Linked DNA regions of Bombyx mori. The protein of the gene in region 2 interacts with the protein of the main gene of each other region in a biochemical or structural test. Links are inferred from orthologs where the notes say so. Each region holds a gene or a part of one and is shown on either strand. Other genes may lie near its edges.

Region 1 (4,283 bases), on a different chromosome or scaffold from region 2:
AGATCAGAAAGGGTAAACATTTTAAATTATGTTATTAGTCATATGACATTTTCATCACACTGTGGCAGGTAACCATCATCCTGCCTTGCAACAGTCATGCATTACGGTTTCAACAATACAACCGTAATAGTACCACTTTGATTTCATCTCTAGGTGGATAGTACAAATTACTAGATACCAAGTGGACTATGAGGTGTTTGTTAGCAAAAAAAATGTTGTCCTCGTATCTGTCTTTTTTTTTAAGCTATACAAAAGAAAGTCTTCAGAAGGACTATTACTAATGTATGGATTACAAGTGAGATTCAAACATTCTTAAATTTGAAACTTGTATGTTAATCCAGAATTATTAGTTTTAATATTTTATTTCATATTCTCTTTTACGAGATTCTTACTTGGTGGCGGTGCATTGATATCGCCGGTCGATTGAAAAAATGAGTAAGGCCTGACATGAATTAGATTAGCAGCATGTCTCCACACATCTTCCCGATCGTCAATAATGCAAACCATGTTGTCACCACAAGGAAACAGTGCTCTGTAAATTATAGTTCATAAAAAATGGTCAAAAAAGTACAATAGTCACAATTAAAACTATTTAAAATTAATTTAAAAATTAATTATATACGTTAGAAAAATTTTGGTTATGAATATTCAAGATTGATATGGGACTCAGAGATTTTAACTTTACAAAGGCATTATTTTAGAATATTTTGTCCACACAAATTATTTCTTATTAAAAAAGTATTCAGTTATAAAAGAAAGTGTTGATTAGATAATTAATAGATAAAGTTAGATAAAAACTCTATCTGTCAGCACAATTTGATAAATTTAAAGCTGTTTTTAGTCTATTAATAAACCTACTTTGATTCAGATTATACTGAATATCCACAATTGATTGTCTGTCTCATCAAGAGAAAAAACTTATTGAAAATGTTGGAAAGGCCTTTTACTTAGCAATATCATTCTTACTTCAGATTGGCTGCTTTAGTTCTAGGATCAAAGCATTCATCTCTGGATAGTATCCTATGTGAGAAATATTTCTTTTCCGGATCTAGGAGCTCAGCTACGGCATGTGCATATTGCCTGGCTCCAAATGTACATATGTGAAGTTCATAGTTCTTTGCTGCTGATTCAAGAAACTCTTGAGTGCGTGGTCGAAGCCTCGTATGACACCAACGCCCTGGCCCTCCAGGTCCTCTTAGGAAGAAGTGTAATACTCCCTGAAGAAACAAAAAAATCATATTACATTAGATTGTATACATAGTATCAGTATCTAGTTAATGAAATCACATATTATTTAATCACAATTTCAAACTATTAGGGAAGAATCAATTGCATAGAAGAAGAAAAATAAAAACCCCTCACCTTTAGATTGGGTGGTATATTGTCATTAGTAGTGTGAACTAATGTTTGATCTAAATCTACCAGAAGTACTAATTTCCTGTCTTTCAGAAGACGCTCAGCATCCTCTTTACCTAGTTTTTGTGCCAGTTCTTCAGACACCTGAAATATGAAATATAATCAAAATATTACTAAATCTAAGTTTAGCTTGAGTATGACACCCCTATTGAAGATCTCCAAATACCACCCGCATGACCCTTGTTAATATTGTTAATAAATACTGTCCTGTGAATGTAGTTTGAAAATAGGGTATGGATATCACAGTCCAGGTAACTAATGCTCAAGGTGTTGTAGGTACATACACTAAATTGTAATTATGTATATGTTTAAGTTTGATTTATATACATTGATGGTATAATTTGCTATCAAGATCTACATGAAATCTAAGACGTGAGAATGTTGATTTTGAAGACAATGACATTTCACATTCAAATTGTAATATGAGTCCCAAATCCAGGGCTTTTATTAAGAATAACGTTTCTTACGTTCAGTTCAGGATATATTTTAGATTTTTTTTGCATTCTTTCAGTGGAGCTTCTCATTTAAATTAAAGCTGTCCCTACTGTTTATCTATTTAATTAAACTGATCTAATGGCTTTTCATAAAATGTTATTACCACTAGGTTTTGTCATCAGAAAATAAATACATTTTGTAAATTGTTCTCCAGAGTAATTGACATAATCAAAAGTGTTTACTTTTAATTCAGGTACAGAGTGTACCATTGGTACAATGGCCACGTCCAGCTTCTTGGTCTCCTCGCTGCGGAGGTCTGCTCCACACTCCGCGCACATCTCCATCATCACTGTTGGATGGCGGCATTCTTCCAAATCTGCTACAGCCGAACTGTAAACGCAAAATACTACGTTTGAAACAATCGATAACATCGTCTGATAAATATATTATGGCAGATATAAAATTTTACATTGTACATTAGAAGCAAATTTAAAAATAACATTCTTTACAAAATAAAGTCGAAGATGTCATTGCTTGCAATTAAAGTCAGACAGACGATGGTATCGCCCACCTGATGTTAAGTGATCACCGTCGCTTAAAAACATCCTCAATGTTAATGGCACAGCCGAGCTGCTATTTCATGCAGGGCGGGAAATGTTTTCAACATTCAAAATTGGCGCTCAATCGATAAAATGGATTTGCAACAATGGCGTTGCTTTATTAATATGCTTCACATCTAATGAGAATAAAACATGACATAAATGTTAGACATTTTATCATGAAATATATGCACCGTTTTTATTTTATCGTTGTTATCATGACGTCACTTACCTAGGTTCTACTACGTCTCCTTCTTTCACCTTGATCGATGACACAGTACCAGCGTGTGATGATTTAAATTTCTTTAACTCTTCACCATCGCCCGCTAAATCTTTGTATAAAAATAATACTTGGCCTTGTGTTACCACAGTACCTTGTTTTATTTTCCACTTTGCGAGTTTCACAGGCTTTTCTGATGGAACAAAAATAGGTATAGTTTTGTCGGCCATCTTGAACGGATATAACGCTTTTTGTCAAAATCCTAGTACCTTATTGGTGATTCGAAAACAGTTTTGGCGGCTTCACTTTTCCTGCCAATGAGAATAAAGTACAGGTTCAATCATCTTCATGGCGAATAGGAGTTCATATCCGGCCCAAAACGTGCTGTGAGCAGAGACAATTTCTTTCCTTTTTTATTCTGGCTGCTTTTGAGCATACATAGAGCATAGACTTATTTAAAAAAAGTATGAAATGCTTTCGAGTATGAAACGTATTGTTCACGCACGATGGCAGTGTAAAGCTGAGAAATTAAGCCAAGTACAGTAGATATCATCAATAGCATATTACTAATAAAAACTATGATGATGCAAGAGTACCAATTAATAATGTGCGACAGGGTGTAAAAGCCAGGAGCGAATATTTATTTTAACAAAATAAAATAATAGAGCTTGTTTAAATTTTTGTTACTTCTCGGTTAAAATGCTAATGCAGGCCTAAAACTTGTTTGCTCTCCAAGAGACGATGTATCTAATTTTAATGTAGGGATTCTATTAAACTAAACTACTTACTAACTAAATAAATTGTTTCTTTGCACTTTATCCATATCATGGAGTTACATGGAGTAAAGATACTAACACTATGATCCATATTCACTACCTACATAATTTAGGTGTATTATCCTTAAGCATATTTAATTTGCAATATGCATATTTAATTTATTCGCTGTTTAAAAAGAAAACAAGCCACGTAAGAAAATATTTTTTGATTAAAATTTCATTCTTGTACACAATACTTAAAAACGCTACGTATATACGCTACGGTTTTAATTGGATATCTGTCTATGTGACCTTTTTTATTGCTTAGATTGGTGGACGAGCTCACAGCTCAACTGGTGTTAAGTGGTTACTGGAGCCCATAGACATCTACAACTTAAATGCGCCACTCACCTTGAGATATAAGTTTCAGTATAGTTACAACGGCTGCCCCACCCTTCAAACCGACCTTCAACCGTTTCATCGCTCGATACGAATGCACCAGACGTCTTATTCTTTAGGGCACGACGACTTCAACTTACACACTACGCGGTCGTTAGTCAGCAATCATACGGATCGTTTTTTTTTTTTTTCCTACCTATGCTATGATAGCCTTGAGAGGCTATTTCAGCTTCGCCCTAACGTTTGTAGGCTTCGATCAACAATAGTAACTAGATAAAGGGATACGTACAAAATTAAAGCAAAAACTGTCCGCGTGAATATATACTTATATAGCTACATTCGTTTACTAACAAACGGAGAAAAAAGTTTTGAAACACTTATACTTTCAAACTAATAACAACTATGGCACCGAGTAATAAAGTCACAAGTCTCCAAAACATTATCTAATACTTACGATCA
Region 2 (4,263 bases):
TAAATGGGCGTATAACTAGTGTTCGTATTAGTCCATATAGTTTTATCAGCGGCACACGCAGTGATAGAAAGAATTTATAAAACTTTTTTAAGAAATCACTTTTTGTCGGCCTACTTTAGTAATTCTGTCACGAAGCGCCTAGGTATTAAACTCAATTAAACTCAATTAATGTTTAGTTTATTCAAATTTTAGTATAATATTGCGTTATTTACCTCGAAGCGTCTTTTACTATTGTTGTGAATGTGTAACTTTTTGTAACAAAAACAAAAATCAATTCCGATGACACATTGACGTTTCTCTTTATTCGTTTTCATGTCAACGTTTAAGGGTCATTGACATCAAAACCTATAAACTCACAGTTTACCAATTTTAGATGTCTTACAAGCAATACTTTCGTTTTAGTCGATTTTTTGTATTTTCATTTATTTTAGAAACACTGTAAATTAATTAATTTGTTTTAACAGAAATTGTGGTAACCTGAATAACATTCAAAGAAAAGCAGTACATACCATCTTAATAAAGTTATTTAAAACCATGGATGTTTACTTTATTGTTAAATTAACTTTTTCGTTACAACTTCAGCCAAGTTAAATTGAGTAGATCAATAGGTAGTGTTTTAGTCCAAAATATATGTAATAACCGCTGCCTATTTTACCGTTTAACGCTATGCGAAACCTCATAAATATTTGAAATAGTCACTGGGTATGACTTTTCAAGTTCTTACAAAATTTTCTTTTTCCACTAAATTACGAAGTTTTAATGTGTGTTTCATTTCTAGCCATCCGACAATTGACCAAATCTTCAATGCTGTGGGTCGTGACCTCTATGGGATTTCAGAATCTCTCCGGTGGATTATCTTACGCCATACGTCGATATATTCTCGACGCTATAGATGACCTCAAATACGATAGTGTATTTGCGGTACGGATTTGGTCTGACCAGCGCAGGGGGACCTGCCCATCAACAACATCTAATTTCATTTAATTCCAATCCTCAATTAACTCTACTTCACTTTTTAAGCAACAGATATGGCGGGCATTGGCCTTTGGTACAAAACATTTTGATTTGGGCTCTTTTCTTTGCGTATTCAATAAATAAAAAATAAAAATTGATATTGACAGTTGACGTTTTAATTAGTGTCACAGTCTTCAGTCAGTGTTGCATTTCACTTCTTCCTATTGTGATTTTGCTGATAGGGTATCAATAAATTTCGCCGTTTCCAAGTGAAAACATAATTAATGTGAAATTTTTTAAAAGCTTTGTCTACACTACAATTAAAAATATCATATTCATACTAAAAGTTCGTTGAAAACCGCCAAAATTACGTCCAAAATGCAAAGCGTAAGTGCTCCGCGGGAGCCCACGCAACCAGTTTTAAGCACAACTTCAACTATATTAAACATGAGGGAAAAGGAGAAATACATAGAGGAATTCGACTTTCCCTTCTGCGACGAGTCTTCCAAATACGAAAAAGTAGCTAAAATCGGACAAGGAACATTCGGTGAAGTGTTCAAAGCGCGCGCGAGAAACAGTAGCAAAAAGTTTGTTGCCATGAAAAAAGTCTTAATGGACAATGAAAAAGAGGGTTTCCCGATCACGGCCCTGCGGGAAATAAAGATCTTGCAGCTCTTAAAACACGAAAACGTTGTAAACTTGATAGAAATATGCCGCACGAAGGCTACGGTTCACAATAAATACCGTTCCACTTTCTATTTGGTGTTCGACTTCTGCGAACACGATCTAGCTGGCCTGCTATCGAACGTGAATGTTAAGTTCAGTCTCGGCGAAATAAAAAAAGTCATGCAACAATTACTGAACGGACTTTATTACATACACAGCAACAAAATACTCCACAGAGACATGAAGGCTGCCAATGTACTAATAACAAAGAATGGAACATTAAAACTGGCTGACTTTGGACTTGCTCGAGCATTCAGCGTCGCAAAGTCTGGACAAGCCAATAAATATACTAATCGTGTTGTTACTTTGTGGTATAGGCCTCCAGAATTGCTGTTAGGTGAGTTTTTAAAACATATTATTTATTAATGAACAGTGTTTTTTTATGTAAACCATAATTTCTGGTAATAAGACAAATTGAGCTTGGATGAGTGGGCACCATTATTCTACTAACTCCTGTTGCTAAGTAGTAAGGCCTTGAAGTAAGCTCCCCTCCATGATGTTTCCCGAGAGCCTGTCTGTCGTCATGTCTTTCTTCAAACGAGGCTTGTGGAGAGTACTTCACGGTAGGCAACGGCTTGGCTTTGCTCCTAGTATTGCTGACGTTCATAAGCTACAACCACTCACCATCAGATGAGCCTTCTGCTCATCTGCCTACAAGAACATTTTTTTTTTTATCTAAAGCATCGAAGCAGTCATACATTTTAGTTTAAAGGAGACAAGTGTTATGTTATCTTTCATAGTGGGAGTGATTTTGAATAACTTATAACTAACATTTAATAACATGTAATAGTGAGTTGTCTTTGTCTGCTCATTTAGAAAAATATATGAAAAATGAGCTGTGGTGTGTTGTATCAGCTTTAACATGCCTTATTTAATTAAAGGTGACCGTAACTACGGTCCACCAGTGGACATGTGGGGAGCCGGATGTATCATGGCTGAAATGTGGACTCGCTCCCCGATCATGCAGGTTTGAAACTTTTCAAAGATACCGACCTGATTAAAACTACTTTTACAGTTTAATCTAGTTTTTTTTGCAAATCTAGTCAAAGGAAATAGATGCAGGGCCCTTGCTTAAAAATGCAGTAATAAGTTTTTGTGTTATCTAGTCAAAAATCACTGCTCTTGTAATGGGAAAGCATAAAATACCAAACCCTCTATTGAGTTTATTCAATAATAAACTTGCAATTTTATAATGATCACAAATTATATGCCATAAACCCCAAATTTAATGGAGTATTATTGGATAGACTTATTGGTTCAATGATGTTCATAGATAAAGGTTTACAATGAGTCACAAAATCTACGAATTATTTCTTTTCAAATTGATAAATTTTATTGTAATTGTATATTCTGTAGATATTTATGTTATTATTTTTAGAATATGTATAGAATAGTTTTAGAAATGACAGACTAAGAGGCTGAGGCTCCAGAAAGACAGACGATACACCACAGATCAGCAGTTAAAAAAAAAATTCTTGTCTACCATGGATCTTTGATTAGAAATGTAATATTTCAGGGTCCGACAGAACAGCAGCAGCTGATATTAATATCGCAGCTGTGCGGTTCCTGTACACCTGATGTCTGGCCCGGAGTGGAGAACTTGGATCTTTACAACAAAATGGAGTTGCCAAAGGGTCAAAAGAGGAAAGTCAAGGTGAATATGGAATTTAATCATTGAGATTTTTATATCTATTGGCTTAGTAAGACTGTTTGGTCAGAATCAGGGTACCTATGTACTCAATTGCAGTGTGGAAATAAGACATAATCATTTTTGAAAAAAAAAAAAGTTTTTTTTTTATCTTTGGCCGATAACACACATTCCAAGATGATATTTAAGGTCAAGGCTCAACACACTGCCTCATAAGTCAACATTTCATAGTTCATTACATATTTTCTTACAAAAACAATAAGTATTTTTGCCTACTGTCAACTAGTTATTTTATTTCTGTATCACCGTAGCCACCAAAAGCATTGTCAGCCATTATATAATTGTTATATCGGAATATAGGAGCAAAGAAACGAACATACATAATAACAGCCGGTTTATTATTGCACTGCACACTGCATAACACACACTGCAATAATACTATTGAGACTCAGATCTCATATCTCATGATGGGCGTCGAGAACATTTTGATGTTTGGTCCAGTGGGCATTTAACAATATGTGTACTTATTTTCCCATCTATGCCGCTCTCTCTTCACTGCATACTGTATATATTCATTCCAGCATCTCTTATATACTAATTAAGATTTGTATATAAACACAGGAAAGACTGAAACCATATGTGAAGGATCCCTACGGCTGTGACTTATTGGACAAACTGCTGCAGTTAGATCCTGCCAAGCGGTATGTATAATAGTTTACTTCCAGCTTACAATTTCTACAAGGAATTTATTCTATTAATGTTAATTGTTGATAGACAAGAAACTGGTTTTACCGGTGAAAGGACCTCTTGTGAGTCCGCACGGGTAGGTACCACCATCCTGCCTATTTCTGTCGTGAAGCAGTAATGCGTTTTGGTTTGAAGGGTGGGACAGCCGTTGTAACTATACTGAGACCTTAGAACTTATATCTTAAGGT

The links.
Region 1: of the proteins of Cdk9 (region 2) and RNA polymerase II subunit A C-terminal domain phosphatase, one has a biochemical effect on the other in vitro, tested with the Homo sapiens proteins (3 studies listed by BioGRID). The link is inferred for Bombyx mori from reciprocal best matches to the Homo sapiens genes CDK9 and CTDP1.

Annotation. Positions count from the first base shown.
Region 1 is NC_085125.1:10,155,790-10,160,072, reverse strand, and holds the start of RNA polymerase II subunit A C-terminal domain phosphatase, read right to left. Parts: upstream 3,064-4,283; 5' UTR 2,901-3,063; coding exon 2,683-2,900; intron 2,638-2,682; exon of another isoform or gene 2,423-2,637; intron 2,242-2,422; coding exon 2,094-2,241; intron 1,501-2,093; coding exon 1,363-1,500; intron 1,218-1,362; coding exon 967-1,217; intron 533-966; coding exon 393-532; intron 1-392. UniProt on the Homo sapiens protein: Processively dephosphorylates 'Ser-2' and 'Ser-5' of the heptad repeats YSPTSPS in the C-terminal domain of the largest RNA polymerase II subunit. This promotes the activity of RNA polymerase II.
Region 2 is NC_085130.1:9,751,045-9,755,307, forward strand, and holds the start of Cdk9 (cyclin dependent kinase 9), read left to right. Parts: upstream 1-1,332; coding exon 1,333-2,017; intron 2,018-2,561; coding exon 2,562-2,647; intron 2,648-3,196; coding exon 3,197-3,334; intron 3,335-3,949; coding exon 3,950-4,029; intron 4,030-4,263. UniProt on the Homo sapiens protein: Protein kinase involved in the regulation of transcription.